4 linked regions of the Pelodiscus sinensis genome follow. The protein of the gene in region 3 interacts with the protein of the main gene of each other region in a pairwise test. Links are inferred from orthologs where the notes say so. Each region holds a gene or a part of one and is shown on either strand. Other genes may lie near its edges.

Region 1 (7,305 bases), on a different chromosome or scaffold from region 3:
GGGGACTTTTTAGCTTAGAGAAGAAGAAACTAAGGGGGGATAGGATAGAGGTCTATAAAATCATGACTGCTGTGGAGAAAGCGAATAAGGAAAAGCTATTTATTTGTTCCCACAATATAAGCACAAGGGGGTCACCCAATGAAATTAACAGGTAGCAGATGTAAAACAAACAAAAAGAAGTTTTTCTTCATGAAGTGCACAGTCTACCTGTGGAACTCCTTGCCAGAGGAGGTTGCGAAGACCAGGACTTTAATAGGGTTCACAAAAGAACTCAATAAATTCATGCAGGTTAGGTCCTTCCCTTATTTGCCAGAATGGGTAGGAATAATGTCCCTAGTCTCTATTTGTCAGGGGCTGAAAATGGATGACAAGGAGGGATCACGTGCTCATCATCTAATAAACCATCTTGTTAGTCTTTAAAGTGCTACATAGTCCTGTATTTTGATGATTCCCTGTTCCCTCCCTCTGGGACACCTGGTATTGGCCACTGTGGGCAGACAGGACACTGGGCTAGATGGACCTTTGGTCTGACCCAGCATGGCCGTTCTTAAGTTCTCATGCTCTTAACACGAGACCAAAGTCTGAAAACCTGATTGCTTGTGTACCAACAATGAATGAACAACGTCTCGTGTAGGCTGTTACCAAAATTCCTGTTTTCCTGTGGGTTTTGTGCCCTGACAAATAACTCCAAACTGTTTCCCTTGTGCAGGAGATGTGCACCCTTGAATACAGATGTCACTGCAGCCACCCTGTAAATTGGCCAATGTAAGAGGTGAATTCATTGTTGAAACTTCTGAGAGGAAGGGATGCTGTTTGAAGACACTATCTGACCCTAATCAGAGCTGAGGATAGCTCCAATCAAGGAAACAGCTGTTTCTCTCTCTTATCAGTCCTCTTTTAAAAGAAAGACCCTCTTGGGTCACTACACAGCTTAGGTGTTTTGTTTTTGTTCTTCTCCTCAAACCTCATAGAATCTTGTCAGTCATGTCTTCAAGGTGTATCTACAGTCACCTAGTGCAACCCTACGTAATACTGATGCTTAATTTCTTCATGTTAATAAACAATAGTTATTCTTAAAATTTAAAAGTTTATATAAGCTTAGAGGACACATTTTTTTTATTTGTTTATACATTACATAAATAAATACACATTTACAGATCCTAGTGTGCAAATCTATTATATTATACCAGCGAGATAAATCATGCATGCAAATTGCGCATCAAAGTTGTAAAATGGGTTACAAAAGCATAAAAATAAGATATTCAAATATTCATTGAACAGATGATGGGTACGCCGAATATGCTCCTTGCTTTGGATACCTGACTACAGAAGAGCTGATGGATGAGCAATATCAGCTACATGCCTCTGTGCATTGACTATAATCAATATGTCTGTCTTCGTTTATTTTGCTCACAAATAAATAATGGTAGGGACTCCCAGACTGTGATTCTAGCACTCAGAGAGGTTGGCTCTGGCAGGAATAGGCTCTTGAGATGCTGCCAGCCTCTCTCACCAGAGCTAGGGTGGAAGCAACCGATATGGAAAGGCTGAGGACCAAAAGGAACCAGCATAGTTCTGTTTGTTTAATGGGAAGTTCTGCCTCTCTTCTCCATAAAACGTGGGGCCTTTATCCAGTGTGTTCTTCCAGACAGGAGTGCTAGAGCAGATTTAAGTTTGTGTCAGGACAGCTTTTAACCCTCTACAGAGACAACAATCCCTCCTTCCCATTTTACAGATGGGAAGACTGAGACACAAGGCAGTGAAGGCCATTGGTCCTAGTCAGAGTTAGGACCAGAGTTAGTGCCAGCGCCGCTCCAAGAGTCTCTCTTCCTCCGATCCCATCCCTCAGCTCCAGTCCTTCAGCCCCTCCCCACAAGCTTCTCTCCTTCAGCCATTCCCTACACCAGGGGTGGGCAAAAGGGCCTCCGCGGGCCGGATTCCACACTGCAGCCCCTCCCCACACTCTACTAGCCCCGCCCCCAAGCTCCTCCCCTGCAGCCCCTCCCCACACTCCACTAGCCCCTCCCCCAAGCTCCTCCCCTGCAGCCCCACCCCACACTCCACTAGCCCCGCCCCCAAGCTCCTCCCCTGCAGCCCCTCCCCACACTCCACTAGCCCCTCCCCCAAGCCCCTCCCCTTCAGCCCCGCCCCACACTCCACTAGCCCCGCCCCCAAGCTCCTCCCCTTCAGCCCCTCCCCACACTCCACTAGCCCCGCCCCCAAGCTCCTTCCCTACAGCCCCTCCCCACACTCCACTAACCCCTCCCTCAAGCACCTCCCCTTCTCCCCTCCCCACACTCCACTAGCCCCTCCCCCAAGCTCCTCCCCTGCAGCCCCTCCCCACACTCCACTAACCCCTCCCTCAAGCACCTCCCCTTCAGCCCCTCCCCACACTCCACTAGCCCCTCCCCCAAGCACCTCCCCTTCAGCCCCTCCCCACACTCCACTAACCCCTCCCTCAAGCACCTCCCCTTCAGCCCCTCCCCACACTCCACTAACCCCTCCCCCAAGCTCCTCCCCTGCAGCCCCGCCCCACACTCCACTAGCCCCGCCCCCAAGCTCCTCCCCTTCTCCCCTCCCCACACTCCACTAGCCCCTCCCCCAAGCTCCTCCCCTGCAGCCCCGCCCCACACTCCACTAGCCCCTCCCCCAAGCTCCTCCCCTGCAGCCCCGCCCCACACTCCACTAGCCCCGCCCCCAAGCTCCTCCCCTTCTCCCCTCCCCACACTCCACTAGCCCCGCCCCCAAGCTCCTCCCCTGCAGCCCCGCCCCACACTCCACTAGCCCCTCCCCCAAGCTCCTCCCCTGCAGCCCCGCCCCACACTCCACTAGCCCCGCCCCCAAGCTCCTCCCCTGCAGCCCCGCCCCACACTCCACTAGCCCCTCCCCCAAGCTCCTCCCCTTCTCCCCTCCCCACACTCCACTAGCCCCTCCCCCAAGCTCCTCCCCTGCAGCCCCGCCCCACACTCCACTAGCCCCGCCCCCAAGCTCCTCCCCTGCAGCCCCGCCCCACACTCCACTAGCCCCGCCCCCAAGCTCCTCCCCTGCAGCCCCTCCCCACACTCCACTAACCCCTCCCTCAAGCACCTCCCCTTCAGCCCCTCCCCACACTCCACTAGCCCCTCCCCCAAGCACCTCCCCTTCAGCCCCTCCCCACACTCCACTAACCCCTCCCTCAAGCACCTCCCCTTCAGCCCCTCCCCACACTCCACTAACCCCTCCCCCAAGCTCCTCCCCTGCAGCCCCGCCCCACACTCCACTAGCCCCGCCCCCAAGCTCCTCCCCTTCTCCCCTCCCCACACTCCACTAGCCCCTCCCCCAAGCTCCTCCCCTGCAGCCCCGCCCCACACTCCACTAGCCCCTCCCCCAAGCTCCTCCCCTGCAGCCCCGCCCCACACTCCACTAGCCCCGCCCCCAAGCTCCTCCCCTTCTCCCCTCCCCACACTCCACTAGCCCCGCCCCCAAGCTCCTCCCCTGCAGCCCCGCCCCACACTCCACTAGCCCCTCCCCCAAGCTCCTCCCCTGCAGCCCCGCCCCACACTCCACTAGCCCCGCCCCCAAGCTCCTCCCCTGCAGCCCCGCCCCACACTCCACTAGCCCCTCCCCCAAGCTCCTCCCCTTCTCCCCTCCCCACACTCCACTAGCCCCTCCCCCAAGCTCCTCCCCTGCAGCCCCGCCCCACACTCCACTAGCCCCGCCCCCAAGCTCCTCCCCTGCAGCCCCGCCCCACACTCCACTAGCCCCGCCCCCAAGCTCCTCCCCTGCAGCCCCGCCCCACACTCCACTAGCCCCGCCCCCAAGCTCCTCCCCTGCAGCCCCGCCCCACACTCCACTAGCCCCGCCCCCAAGCTCCTCCCCTGCAGCCCCGCCCCACACTCCACTAGCCCCGCCCTGCCTCCGTTGTCCTGCCCCCGCCCGCACGGGCGCCCGGTCCCGCCCTCGTTACCCTCCCGCATCCCGCGGCCCCGAAGCGCGGCGGGCCCGGTTTGGCGGCGGAACGAAGGCGCCGGGGCGGCCGGGGCCCGCCGCCCTCTGTCCTGCAGGGACGACTTCCGGTCGGGGCGGACGCTCCGCCGGCAGCGTGCGCGCGTGTCTTCCGCCCGCACGCTGCGGGACGGTGGCCGCGGATTGGTCCGTGGAGTCACGTGTGTGGGTGCGGGGGTGGGGTTTCCAGCAACCCCGCCCTCTCCGTGCCCCACCATCCGGGGCCCAGGCCGGGACTGGGCTTCTGGCCGCTGGGGCTGCTGCTGCGGGGCCGCGGCTCGGCCGGAACCCAGGGGGAGAGCCACTTCCGCCCGTGCCCCCCCCCCCGTTGCTGTGACAACGCCCCCCCGGCCTAGGGTTGTGACCCCCCCCGCTGAGGCCTGGGGTTACCCCCCCGTGGGAGCAGGGGCCGTGCCCCACCCTGAGCTGGCCCCTCGCACATTGTGACACCCCCCCTCCCCCGGTCCTGTTGCCCCTCCCCCCACGGAGAGGGGGGCTTGTGACACCCCCCCAGGAGAGAAGCACGTGGCTCCCTCACCCCCAAGGCGGGCGCTGGGCCCCCCCACCCCTGTCAGTGATGCCCCACCCCACCCCTGTGCCTCCCTGCTAGTTCCTAGCCCCCTGCGCTCGGGGAAGGGCCCTGGGGATAGTCTGGATCCCCCCCCCTTCGGCCCCAGGAGAGTGGAGAGTTCGGGCTCGCCCCCTGCCAGCTGGTTACCTGCCAAGGTCGCGCCCAGGCCTGTGCCAGCCCCGGGGAGACATGGAGTTTGCAGAGCTCATCAAGACACCCCGCGCGGATAACGTGGTCCTGCACCGCCCCTTCTATCCGGCGGTGGAGGGGACCCTGTGCTTGACTGGCCACCACCTCATCCTCTCCTCCCGGCGCCAGGACAATGCTGAGGAGCTGTGGCTGCTGCACTCCAACATTGACTCCATAGAAAAAAGGTATTTTCACGTCTTTGCACCCATCTAGTTCCGTCTCTTCCTAAGGGGGGTGGGGAGCACGGCAAAGAATTGGGCATCAGGAGCCCAAGGGTTTAGTACTAAGCAGAAGCGTGAGCGTCTGGGTAACTGGATTCTAGTCCTGTTTTGGACATTGGTTGAGTTACTTCACTTCTGCTTTGGTTTCCTTCTTCTGTAAAATGGGGGTGATCATTGCCTGCTTTCCTGGGTTGACCGGAGATAGCAAAGTGTGTAGGTGAAAGCGTTCCCTGTAAGCTGAGCGCTTGGCTGGCTGCCCAGGAGAGATGCAGGTGCTGCCCAGCTGACTGGCAGAGAAGCCGCAGCTGACCACAACCAGCAGTGTGTATTTATATTGGTGGTGCACATCTGCACGTGCTTTGGTGCACGTAACAAAATTTATTCTGCGTACGGATGGAAAAAACTTGGAACATTGGCTACAGTATAATAATAATACTTAACTTTTGTACATTGCTTTCCATTTGTAAATCTCAACGTGCTTTACAAAGTATATCATGGAGGATAAGTCCATGGATGGCTATTAGTCAGAATGGGTAGGGATAATGTCCCTAGCCTGTTTGTCTTGCGAGGGGTCTTGTGATGATTCCCTGTTCTGTTCACTTCCTCTGGGGCATCTGGCATTGGCCACTGTTGGCAGACAGGCTACTGGGCTAGGTGGACCTTTGGTCTGACCCAGTATGACCGCTCTTATCATTATCTCTGAGGTATACATAGGTGAAATGATGTTTTCAAAGTGTCACAACAAGGCCAATGGTAGAGCCAGGAATAGAAACCATATTTTTGGAGACTCTGTCCAATACTCTCTACGTGAAGTCACACTGCCATATAGGAACTAATACAATACTATCTCTACCTCTTCCTCATCAGCCTGACAAATTTGAGGACTATTGGCTACTCTTCTGCAGTATAGACTCCATCACGGTGCCATTCTATCCTATCCCATCTGATCCATTTAGAGGTTTCCTCTTAAAAATCCTTGTTGCCTGCTTTAGAGGGAAAAAACGCCAGGGATTACAACATGGGGCCCTTATGTAGGGCCCAGTAAATAGCTCTGCTTTAGTTCACATATAGCGATGTCCCTAAGACAAACCAATATGGGATTAGCGCAGGATTACAGAATTTTACCCTTTCGCTTTGCTGATGTGAATATCTCTTTGATGGGCAAGTAGAATATTGTTTTTTTTTTGTAGTGTCCTTCTGATAAAGATAGGTGAGCAGATTTTTGTGCTTAGGCTGAAAATTTTTCATAATCATTTTGAGGCATGAGCTCCAAAACTGCTGCTCTTTTTAGTAGCTTTTTGCCATTCTTCAGTGACTCTTTTTACACGTACGGCCTATTGATCTCATTGTGGAGAAGAGCCGTCTTTATTGACTCTGCGATGTCAGGATACTCCAGGAAATGCAGAGAGGAAAAATAGCCCCACTTGTTGTAAACTGTTACTACAGGAAGTTATGAAATAGGAGGGCATGCAGGCACATGGGATCATCGTTGAAGCTGAACACTATTCCTTCATTTGTCCCAAATTCTTCCAGTTCTTCCGTGCTGGAGAAACAGTCACACAGCTACTGAGTGAAGAAATTAATGGTTTATTAGCTGAAATAAAGGCTTAGCAGACCAAATTACAGACCCACCGGATTTTATCTTATCTTTTATATAGGTGCTCGTACCTGCATTGACGGCTGTACTGTATTCAGTAGGGATGTTAAAAATCGTGTAATAGGCTAACTGTGTAACCGCTGAAAATCTCAGCAGTTATACGGTTACCCACACTGCAGGCTCTGCAGTATAAAACTTTGATTTATACTGCAGAGCCCGCAGCGAAGCTGCCCTGGGAGCAGGCTTCCTTGCATCAGGGATGCCTCCTCCCCTGGAGCAGAGCGAGCAGCCCTTATGAGTTAAACTGTTAGTCATTTACACTCTTAAATCCCTAGCATTCAGACAGTTACAGCTATACTGCCTGTGCTGCTTCCGAGGGCCTGCATGTCAGTCTGGGCCTGCATTTGATCAGGGCTAGCATTGTGCCATCAACAGATTGCACCCGCCATTAGCTGTGAGGCTAAAACATAAAGGGATGCCAAGACAAAACTGCGAACTGGTTTGAAAATCAGTCTGACTGTATTATAGGGCATATTTCTGTATCGCCTTTCTTCTGCAAATCAATCCTCTTGATAGGCGCTGCTTATAGAATGCTTCCCACGCTGTCTCTGAGAGAGCTAGCCACTCTATGCTCATTTTATAGGTGGGGGAACAGAAACATGGAGGTGAAGTGATATGGTCAAAGTCATAGCCAGCTGAATGTAGGCCTAGTAGTAAAACCTCCCTCCCAGTCTCTAATTTAC
Region 2 (6,868 bases), on a different chromosome or scaffold from region 3:
GGACAAATCACAGTAGCCACCCCAGGCCCCATGCTTTAGGGGGCCCAGCGGCAGCCGCCTCAACCATCCTATGGATGGGAGAGACCCGGGGGATTATGGGGCCTGGCACAGGGCAGCAAAAGAGGTTACCCCTCACACGCTCACTGTGGCAGCAGGTTCAAGAGCCGCCCAGCAGCCTGCTCCACTTCCCTTTCCCAGCTGGCAATGCTCTGCTTCTTAATTGCATGGGGAAGTAGAGAGCCCCAGCCCTTAGGGCACTGCTTCCCGCTGCCTTGGAGAAGTGGAGTGCAGCAGGCTGGGAGGGCAGTGTAGTGGGGCAGAGCAGGCTGCGAGGCCACTTGGGCTCCCACTGACATGTTGAGTGTGAAAGAGGAGGGCAACCCCTGTTGCCACCCTCCACCAAGCCCTATAATTCCCTGGTCCACGTTGCTTAGGGGAGGGGGCAACAGGATGGGGCAGGGCTTGGGGAGAAATATGGACACACCCCGCCCAAGGTGCGCAAGGATGCTCAGGTCAAATTATAGAACTGCTTGGACTGTAAATGGCCCATGGGCTGTGTGCTGGAAATCTCTGCTATACGTGAAGACATTGATGAATCTGTTGTATATAAAACCAAGGGAAAGACAAACAAAACAGATTGTTCATGTAAGCGCTAGATGCACATATGCAACTTCTTCTCACTTCACTAGAGTTATAAGCATATATCTGGGGAACCATCGGGTGTAAATTAGCTGATAAATTCCTGACTCTACTGAAGTCCGTGGCAAAACTCCCATGGACAAGTGTGGAACCAGAATTTCACTCAGCAATGTTGCCACAAACTGAATTTTTTTCAGTAGTGGTGAAATTCTGCATCATCCACCTGAATTGATTTCTGTTCGATTTAGATTTTCTCTGTGTAATCTTGGTGCACTTGAAGTCAATGGTAGTTTGCCATTTACATCAATAGAATCAGGACTTCATACCATATGTTTAAACTAACAATCCATGAACAACTATAGCAACATGAAGCTGTTTTTGTCATTTTTTTAGGCTTCAGAAGAGGAAGAGATTGTTGATCTCATGCTGATGAAAATTTTCAGTTTCCTTGGGATTAAATGCAAAAAGGAAGAGAAGCCAACCAATGAAGAACAACTGAAAGTAGCAGCTACTACTTGACAACCATAATGACCAATTGCTTTCTGTAAAGTCTTGCCTGCTATCCATTTTAAACTACAGCTGCTGTGGCTAGACGTAGATATTGTGGCTGCTATGTGTAAAGTGTAAACAGGAATATATTTAATAATTAAATCTTGTGTTGTATGATATGGGATATTACCTGTAAAATAATAAATAAATCTAGAATAATGTGTCCAATTATGTATATTGTCTTATTCTTTCTGTACATTTACTGTCATGTATTTAATAAATGCTACATGTTCCCTGCAGTTTGTCTAAATTTTTTGATCAGAAAACCAAGAAATAGTGTCCCACTTCTCCAGAATGTGATTTAAATGTCTTAGAAGGAATATTTTTTTAAAATTTGGCAACTCTTTACATATTCAACACTGGCAATATCATCACAACAGAGCATGCAGGGAAGTACTAAAATCCCATTCCCTGGAGTCATTACAGCTTGGGGACCAACAGAGATCTCTAGAGACAAGATGGGTGAGGTACTGTAAGATCATTTTGGATTAGTATCTATTGGTCTAATACTTACTACCTTGTCTCTTAAATATCCTGGGACCAAGGGAGCTCCCACAACACTGCATATAACATAGATCTGAAGAAGTGGGCTGTGCCCATGAAGCTGACGATACTATTGATATTTTTGTTAGTCTCTAAGGTGCTACAGGCAGGGGCGGCCCGTGGACCTAAGCAAACTAGGCAGTTGCCTAGGGCGCTGTGGCCTCAGGCGCCCCATGATTACATCACAGCCATTGACAGCCATGCACGTGGGGGCGCAGATCGCACCTTCCGCAGCCGGCCTCGGGCTGCTCCTGGCTACAGGACCATTCAGACTAACACAGCTACCCCTCTGAGTCTTTTAAACATAAACCTTGGTTTTCCTTGGGAAGTGAGGTACTTAAGGATCATCAGACTTAATAGCCTTATAACTTGTGGACAATAGCTTCAGACTGAGTCACTGAATTCCTGAGGTTCACTGTAACTCCACTGACAATGTCCCAGGAAGGATTACACAATCAAACACTTTTCAGTTCTTTTCAAACAAGGTTTAATAATTCCTATTGTATCCAGCAGAGAAATAATTCTTCCTTATATGTTATGAATAATAAGTAATATCAGAGCCTGCAAATGTATAAGTAAGGAATAGCATGCAATAATTGCTAGAGTTAACCACACCCCTCAGGTCAGATGCAGAGAGAGGCAGAAAGGCCACCTCCTGAAGAGTAGTTAAACCAGCCTAATTCCTGCTGTAGACAGCACTAGGTCTAAGTGAGAAATCTTTCATCATCATGGACCTACCACCTACTGCTTCTCAGACAGGTGGATTATCTAATATGCCAACTGGAGAGTCCCTCCAGCTAACATAGGTAGCACTACAACACAGTAGCTACAGCATTTTAAATGTAGAGAAGCCCTTGATTTACATCACCTGTGCTTCGTGAATTAGTGCCTTGCATGTTCAGAAGCTTCAGGGGGTAGCCGAGTTAGTCTGTTACAGAAAAAAACAACAAATGGTCTGGTAGCACTTTATAGACTAACAAAACATGTAGATGGTATCATGAGCTTTCGTGAGCACAGCCCCCCACTATCCTCACTCCCACATCCAGTCCCCAGTTCTGTCCTTTTCTCGTGGGCCCATGCACCCACTTCCTCTCCCATACTACAGCCCCCTACACCCCCTCTCACCAGTCTCCTACACCCTCCCCCCTCTCTCACCACAGCCCCCTACTCACCACACCCCCTACTCACTACACCCCCTCTCACCACAGCCCCCTACTCACCACACCCCCTCTCTCACCACAGCCCCCTACATCCCTCCCCCCTCTCACCACAGCCCCTTACACACTACACCTCCTCTCACCACAGCCCCCAACACCCCTCACCCTCTCTCACCACAGCCCCCTACACACTACACCCCCTCACCAGTCTCTTACATCCTCCCCCCTCACCACAGCCCCCTACACACTACACCCCCTCACCAGTCTCCTACATCCTCCCCCCTCACCACAGCCCCTTACACACTACACCTCCTCTCACCACAGCCCCCAACACCCCTCACCCTCTCTCACCACAGCCCCCTACACACTACACCCCCTCACCAGTCTCTTACATCCTCCCCCCTCACCACAGCCCCCTACACACTACACCCCCTCACCAGTCTCTTACATCCTCCCCCCTCACCACAGCCCCCTACACACTACACCCCCTCACCAGTCTCTTACATCCTCCCCCCTCACCACAGCCCCCTACACACTACACCCCCTCACCAGTCTCCTACATCCTCCCCCCTCACCACAGCCCCCTACACACTACACCCCCTCACCAGTCTCTTACATCCTCCCCCCTCACCACAGCCCCCTACACACTACACCCCCTCACCAGTCTCTTACATCCTCCCCCCTCACCACAGCCCCCTACACACTACACCCCCTCACCAGTCTCCTACATCCTCCCCCCTCACCACAGCCCCTTACACACTACACCTCCTCTCACCACAGCCCCCTACACCCCTTCCCCCTCTCTCACCACAGCCCCCCTCACACCCTAATTCTGCCCTCTCTCACAGACCCCCACCCACTCGCATTCACACCCCTTGTTCCCCCCACACCCAGCTCCCCTCATGCCCGCACGCCCCGCCCCGCACGTACCCCAGGGCGGAGGGCGGGCCGCGTCGGTTGGTCCCTCCCCCGGCTCCGCCCGCGGGGTCAGGCTCAGCGCGCCGCGGGACTGTGCGGGGCCGGCGGGCGCCGGGCTGCGAGCGGCTGAGATGGCGCTGCGAGCGCTGCGGAGGGTGGCGGTCAGCCTGGCTCCGCGCTGCCCAGGCCGCGGCGGCCCCTTCCCCTCGGCCCGGTCGGCCTGGCCTCAGGCGGCCCCGGCCCGGAGCCTGGGCACCAGCGCGCTGCTGTTCTCCGGTGAGTCCGGGCACGGGCCGCCGGCCGGGCCCACATGGCGGGAGGCCAGGCCTGGCGACAGGTCCCGGTGCGTGTGTGGGGCCGGTGCGCGGGGCAGGCGCGGGGGGGCACATACGAGCCTGAGGGCTGCAGTCGGGGCGCGGGTGCTGCTGCCTGGTGCGTGTCCCCGTTAGTTTGTTGGCAGCCAGCTGGGCCCTACGGGAGAGCCGCAGGTCGGGAGAGCCAGTCCCCTGGCAGTTTCCACATGGAGGTGCAGAGCCCTTTGGAAATCGTAGACCTAATCTGGGGACCCTCGCTTGAAAACCATGGCGCCTTGGAGGGAAGGGGAAGGTCTTGTTTTGTAAATAGCGCAGCAAATCCCTTGCAGAGCGGGGAGTCTAATCCAGGACGCTTGACTCCCGTTCCCAAGATTATAGCTAGAAATCTACCGGGTTCACTAATCTACGGAGAAGGGGATTTATGCCTAAAAACCACTCGTGGTTGGGTATGTTGCTCAGATCAACATATTTGTAAAGGGCTAAGTTATAGTGAGAAAAAGTGAGATGGAGTTAAGTTAGTAAACCAGGTTCCACTATTAGATAGCCTGGTTTGTAAAATGATCAGTGGGCCATTATTTTGATCACAGATGCTTCTTCACATTAGAAACATCTTACCTGTTTTTATCAATAAAGATGTGTCTACACAGCACCCTTACCTCAAAATAAGACATGAAATTTGTGCTATGCAAATTGCATAGCTTATTTAGAGATTATTTCAAAATTGCTTATATCGAAATTTGTTAAAACACTATTCTGATAAGTCGCTTAACCCTTGTGGAATAAGGAATAGTGTGCCCACTATTTCAAAATATATTCCAAAATAACGGGCATGTTTAAAGATGAGGAATTGCTATTTTGGAATACTTCCGGTGTCCCAAAATAGCCCCACTAGAGGTAGCTTGAGTGATGTTGCAATGCAGCTACGACAGGTATAAGCACAAGGTAGACGTGGCGCAGCCATTTTTGTCACTATGGCATAATCTGACCACTTGTTAGCATTGCTACCCAAATGACCATGAGGTGCTTCCTGCTGGTGAGAAACTTGCTAGTGTGCATGAGGTATTAGATGATTTTACTTTACTATGCATAGTATGATGCAGTAGAAGTTTGTATACCTGATCTAAAAGAAGACATTGGCAAGCTTTTTTGTAGACACAGGCACTAAACATTCCACATTCACTGATATCCATCATACACATTAGAGATGTAAGTGACTAATTGATTAGTCAGCTTTCTGATAAGCAAAAGCTTATTGGATAGTCAATGCACTAGTTAACTAGTCGCTCCCCCCAGGGGAGATGAGAAGGGGGTGCTGGCTTAAAAGCTGGTTCCTCCAGCTCTGTGGGAGCGGGTAGGGGGCAGCGATGGTGTTCCACATATGAAATGTACAAGAGCTCTTATACATTTCAAAGGCAGAATGCCTTAGCACTTACACCTTTGAAATGTAGCAACAGTTGGGCAGGCTCTAGCTATATTTCAAAATGGAAACACCCTTATCGATTAATCAAATACTTAATGGAAATTCCATCAATTATTGGATTAGTTGATTAATCTATTTTTAACATCTCTGATAACGCACATGGGAAAAGTGATAGATTGGGCTCTGATCCTACAACTCTTACTTAATGTAGATCCATAGACACCTCCTTGAAGCTTCAACAAGTGAAGCTTTGATGGTGCACCTATGTGATTATAAATTTAAGCGGAATGAATCACTGAATTTTCCCCTTAATGGACTACGTGAATTTAGGTCTGAATTTTATGCAGGCACATTCATAAGGGTACAGAGGTCCTCTTGCAGGGTCTGGGAGGGGGTATGGGTGCAGGAGAGGATTATGGCCTGGGGGAGGGTGTAGGGAGGAAGTGCAGGGTCTATTAGGAAATTGTGACCACGTGGGAGAGGGAGCAGAGGATTTAGGTGATGTCCTGGGGAAGGGGAATGGGGTGCTAGATCAAGGAGAAGATATGGGTGTAGGAGAGCATTTTGGCCTGCTGGTGGGATGTAGGAAAGGGTGCAGGGTCTGGGAGGGAGTTGCCATGGAGAAAGGGTGAATGAGGGTGCAGAAGATTTAGGTGGTGACCTGGGACAGGAAGTTGGAGGGAGAGAGAGGCTGGGGTGCTAGAGTCAGGCTGTGGCCAGAGGCACTTACCTTAATGACTCCTAGTCAGAAGCCCTGCAGGATCCTGAGGCAGGTTTGCTAGCTGCTCCCTGTGGCTCTCTGCTCCAAGGGGAGGGAGAGGCTTTATGTGTTGCCCCCCCCCCCCCCCCAAATCTCTCAGCTCCCTTTAGCTTGTTTCTGAGCTGAGAGATTTTGCTGGGGGGGAGGGGAACAGAGTGCACCCTCCTATCTCTCACCTGGAATAGGGAGCCATTAGACACTTAAGGTGCCATGAGGCTGCTCTGTGCCTGAGGGTCCCAGCAAGGTGGTATGGGGCTGGATTGGGTGGCCTGCAGGCCGGATCCAGTAGCTTGGTGGGCTGAATGATGCCCCATAGCCATATCTTGCCTGGCCCTGCTATACACTGATGTGTGAACACCTAGGCTATGTCTACACTGGCAGCTTCTTGCGCAAGTATGGCTGTTCTTGCGCAAGAATCCGCAGAGCGTCCACACTGCCCGCCGGCTCTTGCACAAGGAAATTTACAGTACAGCGTGGTAAGAGAGGGCTTCTTGCGCAACAGGTGTAAGCCCTCTCGCGCATGAGCTCTTGCGCAAGAAGGCAATGTGGATGTGCAGCAGGTGTTTCT
Region 3 (7,967 bases):
ACACTCACCAATAGTTGTGGTTGTGAAATCCTCATTTGTTTATTGCTTCATCATTATGCTCCCCATCTCTCTATTGTTTATCAGAAAGGTCTCCGTATGGTTCTTTATTTCTGTCTCCTTTATAATTAATTTTGTTAGGTATAAACCAACTAAGGTGGTGGGATATAATTGGTTAGATAATTACAATGAGTTAGGATTAGTTAGTTGAATTTTAGTAGAATGATTAGTTAAGGTATACCTGAAAATATTAATATATATAGTAGCTAACCCCAATAAACTAGAAGCTAACCCCAATATACATTGAATTGTTTGCATCTCCAGACTTTGGGTATTACTGTTCTTTGTCATGTGAGAAGGAAATGACAAGGTGAAGGGATAAGTCATCTACCAGCAGTTAGCAAAATTACCCTATCCTGGGAGACCATCTTGGTTATGACAATCTTGTGGCCCACTGAGCTAAAGGAGGGCCATGTCCACTCACTAGCCTAGAGTGCCCATTCTTGCTTTAGCATCTAAAATGTAAAGATTTATTTATCAGAAAGAAAGAAATCAGAATTAAAATAGTTAAAGGAATCACATACATGCAGCAATTGCAAAGTTCTTGGTTCAGGCTTGTATCAGCAATGGAATAAATTGCTGGCTTAAATTTAGTCTCTGGAGTACTTCCACAGCTTGGATAGTCATCCAGTCCTTTGTTCAGAGCCTCAGTATGTAGCAAAAAATTCTCTAGAGGTGAGAAGCAGGACTGAAGACAAAAGGGAGGTGTTTAGAGTGCTTTTTATACCTTCTGCCATGTGGAGGGAATACCAATGTTCTTGCAATGGAAAAGTACAGCAACAAGATGGTGTTTAGAGTCATATAGGAAAATCACATATCCATGCATGATTCAGTTCTTTACAAGTAGAAGCCATTGCTCCCATGCTAACTTGAACATTCACAGGAAGGCTCCTCAGATGTGAATTAGCACCTTCCCAGGCTCATTATCAGTCAAGTACTTTTATTCAACTTGAATAGTCCCTTCACAACATGTTGGCCAAATGCCCTGTTGGTGGCTCTCAGAAGTAAACATTTGAAATACAAGTACATAGCCTTGTACTTGTGTACCTGCACCACTCATAATTTCAAATACAAAAGTGACACATGAATACAAATGACATAACCATAACCAGTTGATCATAATTGTTTCATAGACACCTCACTTGGCAAACTTTGTACAAGATTTGTTGCAAATATATAAGAACATTTGTAACAGCGATCTATATGGTCATATTTTAATCTGGTAACATCACATTCTCCCCTCAGCCACATTCCCTGGCAGGGTGCCAGTGCAGATTTTTTGTGCATGCCATGGAAGTGGGGGGGAGGGGCAGAAGTGAGAGCAGTGGCTTCAGCAGTGTAACTGATCATGCTTAGTACAAGCCAAGCACCAACTCGGGGGAAAGGGGAGGGAGACCAAACCTGTCTCCCTCCCCCCCCCCCTCACCACACACATATCATCTCTTTCCAGGAGCTTCTGAAGCACCTGAAAACTCTAATTTTTTGCAGGTAACATAGCAATTGGCTGACAGGAACATTGTATGTAATGTAATTCCTATGGAAAAAAACATTAAATGTATATTGGATCCATTCAGCTCCAATATTAAAATGTTCTGACATCTTGTGGCAAGTCACTTGAAAGACATTGGTTAAGTTTAAAATTTTAATGTATATTCTTACTTTGTCACTAATGCTGCAGAGACAGAGACTTCATCATAACTCCTGGGTTCTAGCTCAGCTCTAGGAGGGAAGTGGGGTCTAGTGGGTTACAGCAGGAGGCAGATATATTTAGTCTCTATGGGTTCATCTAGACTACAGGGAATGGTCGAAAGAAGATATGCAGGAATTTGCATATCTTCTTCCGATCACACTTTTGAAAGCAGAGCTTTCAAAAGTGAAATTAGTCAAGGCTCAGATTTTTCGGCAAATCCCCCCACCCTTTGTTGAAAAGCCATGTAAACCTCCTTTTTTGAGGAAGAGCAGCTTTTTGACAAAAGGGGGGAGGGGTTTGCTGAAAAAGCCGTGTCTTAACTACTTTCACTTTCAAAAGCTCTTTCAAAAGTGCGATAGGAAGAATCTTCTTTCGACCGTTCCCCGTAGTCTAGATGAGCCCTATATAAGAACATCAGAATAGATACTGGATCAGACCAATGTTCCATCTATTCCAGTATCCTGTATTCTAATAGTGGTCGATGCTAGGTGCTTCAGAAAGAATGAACAGAACAGACAATCACCAAGTGGATCCATTCTTTCACCCTTTCACAGTTTCTGACAAACAAGATGTTAGGGACACTCTCTGCCCATCCTGGGTAACAGCCATTGATGGATCTATCTTTGAACTTACTTGGATCCTATTGGAACCCTGTTTAGTTTGGTCTTTTCCATTATCCTTGGCAAACTGTTCCACAGGTTGACCATAAAGAAATATGTTTTTGTTTCTTTTAAATCTGCTGCTATAAATTTCATTAGGGTGATCTTCTTGTGTTATGTAAAGGAGAAAAATGTTCACACTATTCATGATTATATAGATCTCTAACATATTCTCTCCAGCCTTCACTCATCTATTTTCCAAGCTTATGCATCCTAGGGTTTGGTTTTTTTCAATTTCTCATATGGAAGCTGTTCCTTACCCCCAATAATTTCTGTTGCCCTTCTCTGTACCTTTTCCAAATCCAAAACATCTTGGCTACGTCTACATTGGCATCCCTTTCCAGAAAAGGGATGCTAATGAGACGGGTTGCAATTGCAAATTCTGCGGGGGATTTAAATATCCCCCGCGGCATTTGCATTTACATGGCTGCCGCTTTTTTCTGGCTTGGGGATAAGCCGGAGAAAAGCGCCAGTCTAGACGTGATTCTCCGGAAAATAAGCCCTTTTCCGGAGGATCTCTTATTCCTACTTCAAAGGGCTTATTTTCTGGAGAATCACGTCTAGACTGGCGCTTTTCTCCGGCTTATCCCCAAGCCGGAAAAAAGCAGCAGCCATGTAAATGCAAATGCCGCAGGGGATATTTAAATCCCTCGCGGAATTTGCAATTCGAAGTCTACATTAGCATCCCTTTTCCAGAAAGGGATGCCAATGTAGACACAGCCCTTTTGTTTGTTTGTTTTTTGTTTGTTTTTGGATGGGGTAATCAGAACTGCCTGCAGTATTCAAGATATGGGTGTACCATGAATTTATAAAGAGGCAATATGCAATTTCTGTCAAATCTATTCCTTTTTTAAATTATTCCTAATATTTGGTTAGCTTTTTTTGTTTGCTGCTGCAAAGTGAAACTATCTACAATGATTCCAACATCTCTTTCTTGAGTGGTAACAGCTAATTTAGACCCCATCATTTTATATGTATAGTTGGGATATTTTCCTGGATTACTTTGTATTTATCAGCATTGAATTCCACCTGCTACTGTTGCCCAATCATCCACTTTTGTGAGATCCCTTTGTAGCTCTTTGCAGTCAGCTTTGAATTTAACTATTTTGAGTAATTTTATATCATTTGCAAATTTGCCACCTGTTTATCCCTATCATTTATGAATAATTTGAACTGTCCTGGTCCCAATACAGATCCCTGGAGCATATCAATATTTAACCTTCTCCATTCTCACCAGTTATTCCTTCCCTTTGTTTTCTTTATTTTAAGTGGAGTACCTGATGATGCTTTTATGATCTAATGATCCTTCAATTAATTTAATGATAAGCCATGCCCCAGAAGCTCTGCTGCACTTAAGAGCTGCTTCTGGGGCATGTGCTGTAAGTAGCCCTTAAGTATGCAATTCATGGGTTCAAAAATAAGGGGTTCAAACTTCAGGGGAGGCTAGAGCCCCCCATCCTGCCTAAATGGTGCTCCTGTTCCATGGCCTAGAATACTTGCTGCAGTCTTAGCAGGACTATATCTTGAACGCCCATTTGCCATATGTCTGTGCTACTTATGCCAAACAATCTCTCCCGCTTTGCATTTCGCTATGATGTTGGGAATCCCTTTCCCAGCCCTCAGGAAAAGTTCTGTGTAGCTCAGAAGCTCGTGTCTCTCACCAACAGAAGCTAGACAACAACAAAAAAAAATACTTTTTCACCACTTAACTCTCTGACATCCTGGACTGGACAGAGTTACAATGCTGTACCCATCTTTTCATTGAGACAACTAGCCCTGCATAGCCATGAACCTTCAATTGCATTGCTCCTTTGCTTGTCTAGGGGCTTGTCTACACTCCAGGTTACAGCAGCATAATTTTTGTCACTCAGGTGTATGTCTAAGTCCCTCCCCCCACTCTCCCCAGTAACATAATTACACTAAGTACTACAGCTGTACAGCACTGGACAAGATTCTCCTGCCAACATAGCTACTGTGCTAAATGGGGATGGTTTAGCATGCCAAGGGGAAGGATCTCTCCCATTGGTGTAGCTCATCTTCACCAGACCAGCATCTTCCCTGGTCCAGCTAACATATCCCTCCCTTTGCACTTTCTAACACAAATCTGTCCCTTCGCAGCCTGCAACAGGCTAGTGGGGCACAGGAGCAGGAATCCAGGTGGGGAAAGAAGATACACATGGGACTCCCCTAGGGGCAGCAGCAGCATCATGGAGCATTTTGAGTGCTAGAGAAGGTGCAGAGCAGGGCTGGCCAAAGGATGCTCATAAAGTGGGAGACAGGGCCTGCCTTACAGTAACTGCCAGAGCTAGGGTTGCCTGGTGTTGGGTTTTGAACCAGACAGTCCAGTATTGGAGTTTTCTGTTCAGAAAACAAATGGAGAACATATAAATGTCCAGTATTTCCTAAGTCAGATGTAATGTAGATTGTGATGTGATAGCAAGTGTGTGGGGTATTTTTGTTGAACCCACCTGGCAACCCTCGAAAAGAGTCAGAGACGTGGCCATAAAAAGGCAGCCGCCCAATGCCTGTCAGGGAGAACAGCGGCTGCCTGCCCCTGGGGCTGTGTTCCCGAGGCAGCGCGCCGGGCGAGGCTCCCTGCAGCTGGGCGGAGAGCGGAGCTCCCAGCGGGCCGAGGGAGGGAAGCCACCGCCCACGGGCGGGGGAAGCTGACGGCGGAGAGCCCCGCCCGGTGGCGCGCTCAGGCTGGGCTGCCTCCCCCGCCACGTGATTGCCAGGCACTGGAGCCCAGCTGCGGTCGCTAGTGCTGCTGCCTGCCCGCTGGCGACTCCACCGGCTCGGGGGCTACAGTGCGCCGGGGGACCCGACCCACACCCAGCAGCGCTGGCCTCGCCGCCGGCCCCTGCCCCTGTAAGTGCAGCCTCGTTCTGCAGGGTGGGCTCGCTGCTCCGCGCCGTAGCCGCCCCCCTGCTCCTGAAACGAAACTGATAGTGAGCGATGGGAGCCGGGCCCGGGCGGGTCGGCTTTGCCGGCCCCTGCAAAGCGGGCAGCGCCTGCCTCGTTGTATGGGGGGTTCTTTAAAGAGCTGGGTCTTCACGGGCCGCTGTAGAGTCCCTGCACCGGCGCTTAGGGCCGGGAAGGACACGAGTGTCAACTTGACGCTGGCTTCCTGAGCAGGCCGAGCGCTGGGTGTGATGTCTCTTAAAAACCCCACCTCTTGGTTATGTACAGTGAACAGAACACAAGCGATGCTAAATGATCGCCGGTAGCACAGGCGTGTAAGGGAGCAGCTCTCTACCGACCTCGGGCACCAAGGTTTTCAAGAGTTAGGAGTAACAGGAATCATTTGCCCTTGGGATAAATGGCCATTTAGGCAGCGTTTTGTTTTGCTATATAGAGTTTACTGTTTTGTAAAGTGCAAATACCCGTTTTCTTCAATATAAACTACTTGTATATGTTTGTGTGCTTGACAATTATTTTGTATGTTGTATTACATATAGAGTAGATTTTTATGAGGATAACATTATTGTTTGTTTGTTTTTTTAGATGGCATTCACAGTGCTTTCCAAGCAGAAGTAGTGGTGCTAACTTGTGATTTTATTGCCAGGCATGCAAAAGTTGATATTTTACTTTAAGGCCTCCTTCCCAACTAGAGAAAAATGTATAAGAGCAGTGCTTTTTATGTGATGGTACTGCCCGGTACACAGTACCAGCACCTCCATAGCTCAACAACTTTTCTCTTGAGCTATGTCCATATTGGCAAGATTTTACGCAAATACTTTTAACGCAAGAGTTTTTGCATTAAAGTATTTGCGCAAGAGAGCGTCTACACTGGCATGTGCCTATGCGCAAGAGATGTGCTTTTGCGCAAAAGCATCTGTGCCAGTGTAGACGCTCTCTTGCGCAAGAAAGCTCCAATGGCCATTTTAGCCATCGGGCTTTTTTGCGCAAGAAATTAATGTTGCCTGTCTACACTGGCCTCTTGCGCCAGAACAGTTGCACAAGAGGGCTTATTCCTGAGCGGAAGCGTCAAAGTGTTTGCACAAGAAGCACTGATTTTATACATTAGAACGTCAGTGTTCTTGTGCAAGTACTAGCAGCTAGTGTAGTCAGGCAGCATGTTTTTGTGCAAAAGCGGCTGCTTTGGCACAAAATCATGCCAATGTAGACACAGCCTTGGAGTACCAGCACTTTTTTTAAAACAAAAAAAGCACTGCATAAGAGTATCTATTGGCTTTCATCAAAGTACCACCAGAAGAAGCAGTGCAACTTTTTAGCTCTCATGGTTGTAGAGCAGGGGTTCATCATCATCATCAACAACCATGGGCTCAGTGCCCATTGATGTCCTATGCCTCCCTCACCATTTCCTTCCATCTTACCCTGTCCAGTGTGGAGTGGCTTAGTTTCTGTAGATTCGCTCCGCACCAATCTACTATATCATCTACCCATTCTCTGTGGGGTCTGCCTCTCCTATTCGGGCCATCCATTATGCCAAATACCAGGGTCTTAACCTTTCACTTGTCATTCATTCTGCAGATATGCCCAAAAGAGCAGGGGTTGGCAACTGTGTAGAAGTGGCATGCCCCAGTGGCGTGCCACCACGCTCCCCGGGGGGTGGGATGGGATCTCCAGTGCACGCCCTGCTTGGTCTCCTGCCCTGGACTCCCAGGCAGGGGGACGCTGCACAGCTCCCATGTCCTGCCTCCCCAGAGCATTGGGAAGGTAGGGTGGATAAGGCATCATGTGTGTTGCTTTGGGGAGGGGAGGAGCAATATGCATGCACTTCCCTGCAAGCTGGATCCTGTGTGGAGCCTTGGGGCTTTCCCCCTCCTCACAGGAAGCTGGTGCTTACTCCAATCTTGTGGAAGGTGTTACACAGGATAGCCAGCTTGGGCTTCCTGTTAACTGGTCAGGGAGAGCAATGAAGAGCCCGTTCATCATGCGTGCTACTGAAAATCATCTTATGTACCACTTATTGCATACGTGCCATACGTTGTCGACCTCTGTTGTAGAGAAAAGCTTGAAAATGCTTGAATGCCAGAGATCACATAAAGCTAACCATTTTTAGGGGAAAAAAATCCCATACTTTGAAAATCTGCCTTATGATTTTTGGGACATTTGGGGTTGGCAATACTGTAGAAGTGAAGGTGTAAGTTACTGTGTTTAATTTGTGCCAGAATAAATGTTTACCCTCAAGGAGTAAAAAATAATGCCACCCTGATCCTGCATTACTCACATATATAAAATTGAACAAGTGCGTAAGTGTTGAAAGATAAGGAGACAATTTCTGAAAAATGTTGTAGCTCCTGCCTTAACTTGTCCTGACATCACATGCGCAGAGGTGGATCTTTGTGCTTATATGGCAATGTAAGTGCCTGTATTCAGTATTATGTGGAAAGTATTATGTGGAATTCTGATCCTAATTGGGGCACCTAACTGCTACTGTAATACAAATAAGAATTCCATGCATGGACCAAATTTCCAATAGTTAGTTTGCAGTTTTATTAATTTCTTCAAGATTAAATCAGATTTCAGTGTACATGTGAGATGTGCAGATTAAGTCCCAGTACTGCAAAGATTTATGCACATCTTAGTTTTATTCA
Region 4 (6,960 bases), on a different chromosome or scaffold from region 3:
TTTGTACTGACTACACGATCAGTCGATGAGGGAAGGTGCTCTATCCCAGCTCATGCCGGGCAGCTCTTACTACATTTAAAATCCTGGACTGGCGCAAGTTGGGACTGAGCCAGATTTGCTCAGTCCCAGCTTGTGCTGGGTTCAACAGCCCATGCCTTGGCCAGCCTGGGCCACCATGAACAGAAGCTGCTCTAGCAACAGGTCTTGTTCATGGCAGCCCAGGCTGGCCGTGGGCAGAGGCTGCTTCATGGCAGCAGCCCCTCCTGACCTACCCCTCATTGCTGCCTCTTATAGTGGCAGCAGCAGGTGGGGGGGAGGCGGCACCACAGAGATGGTGCTTGGGGGGAAAATGGCTTTTAAGCCATCTCCCCCCCAGCACCAGCTCCTGTTCCCCCATGCCCTTTGCTGCCTCTGCTACAGGCACTTACATCTCTACCATCCATCCTCCCTTCTTCTGAACCCTTCCCTCCCACTCCCCCCGGGGCCACACTGCATCTGGGCCCCCCTAAACCCAACTGCCCCATCTCCAGAGCCTTGCTGCTCCCTTAGAGCCATCAATTGCCCTCTGAGGCCTGCCCAGACCAGGACAGCCCATGGGACAGTCCCCTCCTCCCAGGTCCTGGTACTGAGCCCTGGAACCTCCACTCCTCACGGCAGTGGAACCAGTCCCCTGTGGGGCAGCAGGGGATACAGCTAACACATGGGCAAGGCCATGAGCTCACCAGCCACCTCGATACGGATCTTCATGTTGTTCTGCAGGACACCCAGGGGGTCGAGGTACTCGGCAGCCCGCCCCGATGCCACGTCCTCCAACTTGGCCTTCACCTGGTTCAGCCGCTCCTTGAACAGCCTGCAGGGTGCACCAGCAGGTACTGAGCAGAGTCCTGTCCACCCCAGGGATTCCCTCACACCACCCAGCATGGTCCAGTTCTGCCCACCACACCCAGCATAGGCCTGCTCAGCCCTTGCCAACCCACAGCATTAGCTAGCACTGAGATGCGGCCATTTCTTGGGTGGGGTGCAGCAGGGACAGTTTATACCAGGATCTCTTGCCTGGCACTGAGATACAGGCACCTAAAAGATGGGGAATCCAAGAGGGGACTCACTTTTCTTTGAGCTCAGAGAACTGCTTCTCCAGGTCACACATCTCATCTAGGCACTCGCTGCGGCGCCGCTCACAGTCCTCCTCATCCATTTCTGCAGGGCACAGCACATGTATCTTACAGGCCACACACAGACCAGGGCAACAGAGGCATACAGAGCCAGGACACTCACCCAGGTCACACACACACAGCTAGGAGTAAATAGAAGAATAGGACCCAGGAGTCCTGATTCACAGCCCCATCCCCCAATACCCCCCACTCTTCCCAGAGCTGGGAACATAACTTAGGAGTCCAGAGAGAGGACACTGGGGTCATGGCTTTTACCCTGGAAGCAGAGCCACATCCCAGAACCGCCTTGTGATAAAAGGCCAAGCCCCTCCCTGTATCCCCTTCCATACTCAAATACCTGAGCTTTCTTCCTCTGATTCAGAAGGGCTGGCACTACGTTCTTCCTCGCTCTCCTCCTCTTCACCATTCAGCTCAGGTGCCGAGTCCCCATCCCCCTCCATCTCTTCGGCCTCCTTGGGCACCGGATGCACCGGCATGGGCACTCTAGGTGATCAATGGCAGGTGATCCAGGAGGGTCTTGTTTCACTGCATCTCCCACCCTCCTCCATCACACCTGGCCAGGGACAGCTACCCACAAAACCATGGGACACCCCATGTGCCCAGACTGTGAATATGGGTAGCTCCACCACACCAACAGCAACCCTTGACAATTTGCATCCCCCTGCCCCAGGGCAACCTCAGCTAGTAGGCCCCAATCGCCACAGCCCATTGAGCTCCCAAGGCTTCCCACTGGCCAAGGAAGTAGCAACCTTCTCCATTGGGAGCAACGCCAAAACCCACAACTTGATTCACATGGAGCTAGATCAGAGCCAGCACCTTGCAGAGGTGTTTTATTTCCCCATCCCACACCCAGCCAGCCAGTCATCCTGCCATGGGGCTGGCACAGGGACAGCGCCTCCTTGTTCTCACTGCACTGTCATGTGCAGCCACCTTGTAGGGGAAACCCCGCAAAGCTGCCGAGATGCTGTCAGGGAGCCAGGTGCTGGCAGCTGCTATTGCTACGGCATTGTGACATGTGCTGCGACTCTGCAGCGATGTGTGCTGACCCCAGCGGAGCTGGGACCCCAGAGATCTGCTGCCATGAGCCTAAGTTGCGGATGGGAGCTGCTCCCTCCTTGCCAACAATGCAGGGACCTGGCTTCCAATAGGCCCAAGACCCCATGGGGCACCCAAGCCCCATAGACAGCTAGGGCTAAGGGTGGGAAAACAGGCAGAGCCAGTAACAGAACCCAGGAGTCCTGGCTCCCAGCCCCCTGCTCGCTCTGTAACCATGGCCTGGCCCATATCCCATAATGGGCTCACTACTGCATACGCAATGCTGGGAGAACCCCCCTCCATGAGAATGGTATTTCCCATTTTCTGCTCACTTCCGAGGAACATACCAATGCTATAACTGCCCCCTCCAATTGACACCGTTTGCTCTAGTCTATGCCTGTGTTGGGGAAGATACCACTGAGCCCACATACACACACACCAGAAGGCCACAATTCGCCCTCCCCTCGAGATTTCTTCGCATCTCCCAGTTTCATTGAATTTGTTTTGGAAGGTGTCATTCATGTCCCCATGATGGGGGAGGGGGGTGAAGTAGGATACAGTGCACCCCCTTCCCAAGCTACAATGGTCTGCGCTGCCAGTACGTTTCACGAGGAATGGATCTTTGAATACCCACAACATAGGGGCCGCAACCTTCCCCTGAGTTGCAATAATCTGCGCCGGCCGTCGCTGTAAGTTTCCCCCTTGCGGTTGTAATGGGCCAGCCTGCCCTCCCTTGAGTTCAACGGGGATGGAACCAACAAGTTCCACAAGCAGGGGAGGAAGCGAATTTCTCCCTTGGGTTGCGCAAGCTCTATCCTGGCTTCTATTGATCTCAGCGGGGAACGCACCACCCAGCACCCCATGAGGGGGAAGCTGGGACGAATCCATCTCCCGCTGCTCTGAGCCCCACGTACCTCGGGAGTCCAGGCCGGCGGCCTCCCTCCCGTAGCTGCTTCGCTTCTCCGTACCCGGAAGTCCCGTAGCTACTGGCCCCACCTTATTTTCTTGCAGCCAATCAGGGACACCAATTAATCAGCGCGCCGTTGACTCTATGGTTCCCAGCTGCCCACTACTCCGGGCCTTATGGGATAGTGGAGGATGAGACGTGTTCCCATGGCAACAGACCCACAGCCTAGCCTGAGATGACCACATCCATCGAAAGTTGGCTAAAGGGCGGGCACCCCCCGAATTGGTGTTGCCGCAGCACCTGCTTGTGACACATCACCATGGTACCTAGTCGAGTTGATGCCATGGTGCTTGGTCATGACATCTCCAGAGGACCCAGTCAGTGTTGTAGTGGCTCCTGGGCAGAGTCATCACAGCCTGGTGCAGTGTCACTGAAGCATTGCCACAGCTCCAGTCCCAGAATTGCTATAACACTTGGCACCCAGTCCCAGTCCCGCCTCAGTACAATGCCTTTGGCCTCCTTGCCATGGTGCACAAGCACAGTGTTGTCATGGGACTGCCCCCAACAGCCAAGTACCTGGAGAGAAGCCAAGGGTGTGTGGCTCTCAATTCCCTTCTCCTGATCATGAGCAGGATGGATTCATTGGCAGGAGAGCCTCTGCTTTGGCACATGAAGGAGTCAGCCCCACCCATAGTGCCACACAGTGAGCCAAGCCCTGTGCGGGACAGATACATTCCACCATTGCCTCCGGCGCTACAGAAAGGACCCACAGCAGGACACAGCCATGAGGAGAAGCTCCTGGCCTCCACAGTACTTTATTGTTCCAACCTAAAGTTTGCACGCAGGGCGACGGAATGCCAGGCCATTCCCTACAGTGCCAGAGGACAAGAGCACTCTGCCAGTCCCAACCAAACAGCATTGAGCATCTTCATAAATTAAGCCTCATGCCCCCTGCCCTCAGGAGGTAGGTCAGTGCATTTATTCCCATTTTACAAAGGGGAAAAATGAGGTGCACAAAGTGGAAGGGTCTTGGGGCAAATAGAATAAGTGACAAAGCTGGGAACAGAATTCAGAAGTCCTGAATTTCAACACGTCATTCTTTAACAACTAACCTCTACTCTCTTTTCAGCACTAGGGAAAGATCCCAGAAGTCCTGACTCTCCCTCCTCTAATTGCTATATTAGGTTCTCAACCCATAGCCACTTACAGAAAGGGAGAGGGAGCTGTTGAATCCAGAACAGCCCCCTTCTCTGCTCAGAGAGGGAAAGAATCATAACAAGAGAACTGTGGATGGAGGAAACAGCTGATTTCTACCCACACAGGCAGAAGACCAGGTGTGGTAGTCCTCTGTTCTGAGATAGTCTGATATTGAATGGAAAACTGTGGGAGGAGAATGCTGAAGTGAATTGGAAGAAAGGGATAAAGGGATACACAATCCCAGCAATAGGCTGGGAGTGGTGAAGGAGCCAGAGTGATGTGACTGGAAAGATTCCCCCCTAACTATAAACCTTTGTCTGATGTGAGCGTTAATGACTCAATGAAAAAGAGAGGGCACGGCCCCCCCAAAAAACACTGACACCAAAGCTACAGTTGAAGAGTCATAGGGAAGGCAGAACTGAGGAGCTGTGCCCAAGACAGCAGGCCCATCAGCATCGGCGCAGTGAGCCAGGATACTTCAGCTTCAGTTCCTGCTTGAACTGGCGAAAGAGCACCTTGTTGCGCTGATTCTCAGCATCCTTCTGTGCATGGAACTCACTTGGCACCTTGAAGCCCTTGTGCACCAGGAAAGCATTGTTCAGCACTGAGAAACTGTACCCAGCCACATGGAGCTCACATGCCTACAAAAGGGGACAGGAGAGCTGTGAAGGAGAAACCAGAGTAACCCCCACCCTCATTGGACTCTGAAGTGTCCCACACTTTGTTACATCAAGTGCAGAAAAGCAGCTACCTCTAAAGTGGAGTGTGCAGGCTGTTTATAGAGGGATCCTTCCCCTGGTTCTGAGATGCAGCTGCTTCTGGGGTGGGGCATTGGAGCTGTTTTATACAGGGATCCCTCACCCAGTGCTCAGATGCAGTATGGGATGTGGAAGCTATTTCACAGCTTCACAGAACACTACAATTCAGGACAAAAAGTGGAAATTCACTGGATTGAAGCTGTAGAAAAAGGGACAAATGGTCTTTAGTGAACACAAGGGGCCAAGGCGCATTTTACATCTAATTGGACGGATGCCACTAACAGGTATACTTACAGCACCTCCTGGTGCAGCCTTGGGCATTGAGGATAGCATTGAATGCAAGGTGAAAGCACCTCTTACTGAACCCTCCACCCTGCAGCACAATGTCCCTACATTGTGCTGCTTCTCTTCTCCAGCCAGCAAATACTCTTGGACTACGATTGGATCAGGGCCAAAACCCCCTTGCAAGGAAGGAAATAATCACTCCTCTTGCCCTTGTGTCTCTATGAGGCTCAGTAAGCATGGCCTGAGGCTGTCCAGTGATCAGGAGATCACCTGGATGAGACTTCCCTGATTTGTTTCACCCATGGGTCAGGACACCCTGCTCCATCGCTTGGGGAGGCTGGGTGTATTTCTGGGGTGTCTCCCATGGCACTAATGCCCCCCCATTCCCAGTTAGGCAGGTACCTGGCTGATGCGGTTGAACCCATACTGCTTGAATCTTTCATCGTAGGGTGGCACAGAGTTGGCACTGATGTAGAAGGGCTCCCAGGGGTCCCTCCACTCCACGGCGTAGGCGGTGTTCAGGGGACTGCCCAAGGGCAAGTTCAGCCAGCGTGAGTAGTTGGTAGGGGCCTGGCAGCGCGGGCAGAGCTCCTCGTAGAACGGCCGGATCTCCCCCACCTGATACAGCTGCAGTAGCTCGGTCTTGGCACCTGGGAGGCGCCGGGTATGCCGAATCTCAAAGGCGGGCACCACAAAGACACCCGGTGGCCCCTCAGCACCCAAGGTTGCTGCCAGAGCCAGAAAGGCCTCACGCAGCCCCTCACTGGGCAGCATGTCCACGTCCAGCACGAGGGTGTAGTGCCCAGTGGCTGCTCCCCTTGCCACGTTGCGCAGCAAGTTGTTGGGGTAGGAGGCGTTGGCACCCAGGGCATAGTTACGCCTGCCCACCCCGGCCCGTGCCAGCTTGGCGAAGACATCCCCACAGGCCTTCAAGCGGGCAAACTCCGCCCGGTCCTCCAGCTCTGGGAAGGCGGCCAGGTCCCCCGAGTGACACACCAGGTGGGCCCTCACCAGCTGGCGCACTGGCCCGCACAGTGTCCCCAGGGCGTAGAGCATCAGCGTAGCCAGCCGCACCTCGGCGGGGCCCGGTGCAAAGAGCGCCACGGAGACCGGGCCCTGCCAGCGCCCCACCAGCTCCTGCAGCTGGTACAGGTTGCTCAGGCTGGTGTGTGTGGCGAGCACCAAGTCGGGCGCCCGCTTCGCCCGCTCCGGGGGCCCCAGCATGTCCGTGTAGATCCGGTACTGCCCGCTGGCATCCAGCCGCCCGCCGCTGGCCAGGGCGCGCTTGAGCTGCTCCTTCTGCTGCTCGCTGGGCCGGCCGGGAGCCTCGCCCCGGCGCCCCCCGAACAGCTCCGAGTAGCGGGAGCGCTGCTGGCGCCCGTGCAGCCCCGAGAGCAGGGACAGGTAGAGCAGCTGCAGCAGGGCCACCAGTGCCAGCGCCCACAGCAGCACCTTGAAGAAGGAGCATCTGGCGGGGCTCTGCATGCCGGCCGCGGCCGGGGCACCGCGCTCAGGCCCGGCTCGCTGCGCCCATGCTCGCCATGGGGGACCGGCGCAGGCAGCGGGCGGCTCCAGCTCCTTGTCCTTGTATGCAGCCGGCCGGGAG

The links.
Region 1: the proteins of NMI (region 3) and MTMR9 interact in binary tests that used the Homo sapiens proteins (3 or more experiments, as listed by UniProt). The two-hybrid records come from large-scale screens. The link is inferred for Pelodiscus sinensis from reciprocal best matches to the Homo sapiens genes NMI and MTMR9.
Region 2: the proteins of NMI (region 3) and GCSH interact in binary tests that used the Homo sapiens proteins (3 or more experiments, as listed by UniProt). The two-hybrid records come from large-scale screens. The link is inferred for Pelodiscus sinensis from reciprocal best matches to the Homo sapiens genes NMI and GCSH.
Region 4: the proteins of NMI (region 3) and BRMS1 interact in binary tests that used the Homo sapiens proteins (3 or more experiments, as listed by UniProt). The link is inferred for Pelodiscus sinensis from reciprocal best matches to the Homo sapiens genes NMI and BRMS1.

What each region holds. Positions count from the first base shown.
Region 1 is NC_134713.1:2,877,529-2,884,833, reverse strand, and holds the start of MTMR9 (myotubularin-related protein 9), read left to right. Parts: upstream 1-4,293; 5' UTR 4,294-4,744; coding exon 4,745-4,929; intron 4,930-7,305. UniProt on the Homo sapiens protein: Acts as an adapter for myotubularin-related phosphatases. Increases lipid phosphatase MTMR6 catalytic activity, specifically towards phosphatidylinositol 3,5-bisphosphate and MTMR6 binding affinity for phosphorylated phosphatidylinositols.
Region 2 is NC_134722.1:11,491,759-11,498,626, forward strand, and holds the start of GCSH (glycine cleavage system H protein, mitochondrial), read left to right. Parts: upstream 1-3,860; 5' UTR 3,861-3,937; coding exon 3,938-4,082; intron 4,083-6,868. Other genes in the region: polycystin-1-like protein 2, read left to right, coding at 1,033-1,158. UniProt on the Homo sapiens protein: The glycine cleavage system catalyzes the degradation of glycine. The H protein (GCSH) shuttles the methylamine group of glycine from the P protein (GLDC) to the T protein (GCST).
Region 3 is NC_134717.1:27,661,206-27,669,172, reverse strand, and holds the start of NMI (N-myc-interactor), read left to right. Parts: upstream 1-4,966; 5' UTR 4,967-5,274; intron 5,275-7,967. UniProt on the Homo sapiens protein: Acts as a signaling pathway regulator involved in innate immune system response.
Region 4 is NC_134721.1:32,359,173-32,366,132, reverse strand, and holds the start of BRMS1 (breast cancer metastasis-suppressor 1), read right to left. Parts: upstream 3,014-6,960; 5' UTR 2,847-3,013; coding exon 2,842-2,846; intron 2,577-2,841; exon of another isoform or gene 2,555-2,576; intron 1,656-2,554; coding exon 1,510-1,655; intron 1,198-1,509; coding exon 1,107-1,197; intron 851-1,106; coding exon 723-850; intron 1-722. Other genes in the region: B4GAT1 (beta-1,4-glucuronyltransferase 1), read right to left, coding at 4,761-4,952, 5,757-6,839. UniProt on the Homo sapiens protein: Transcriptional repressor. Down-regulates transcription activation by NF-kappa-B by promoting the deacetylation of RELA at 'Lys-310'. Promotes HDAC1 binding to promoter regions.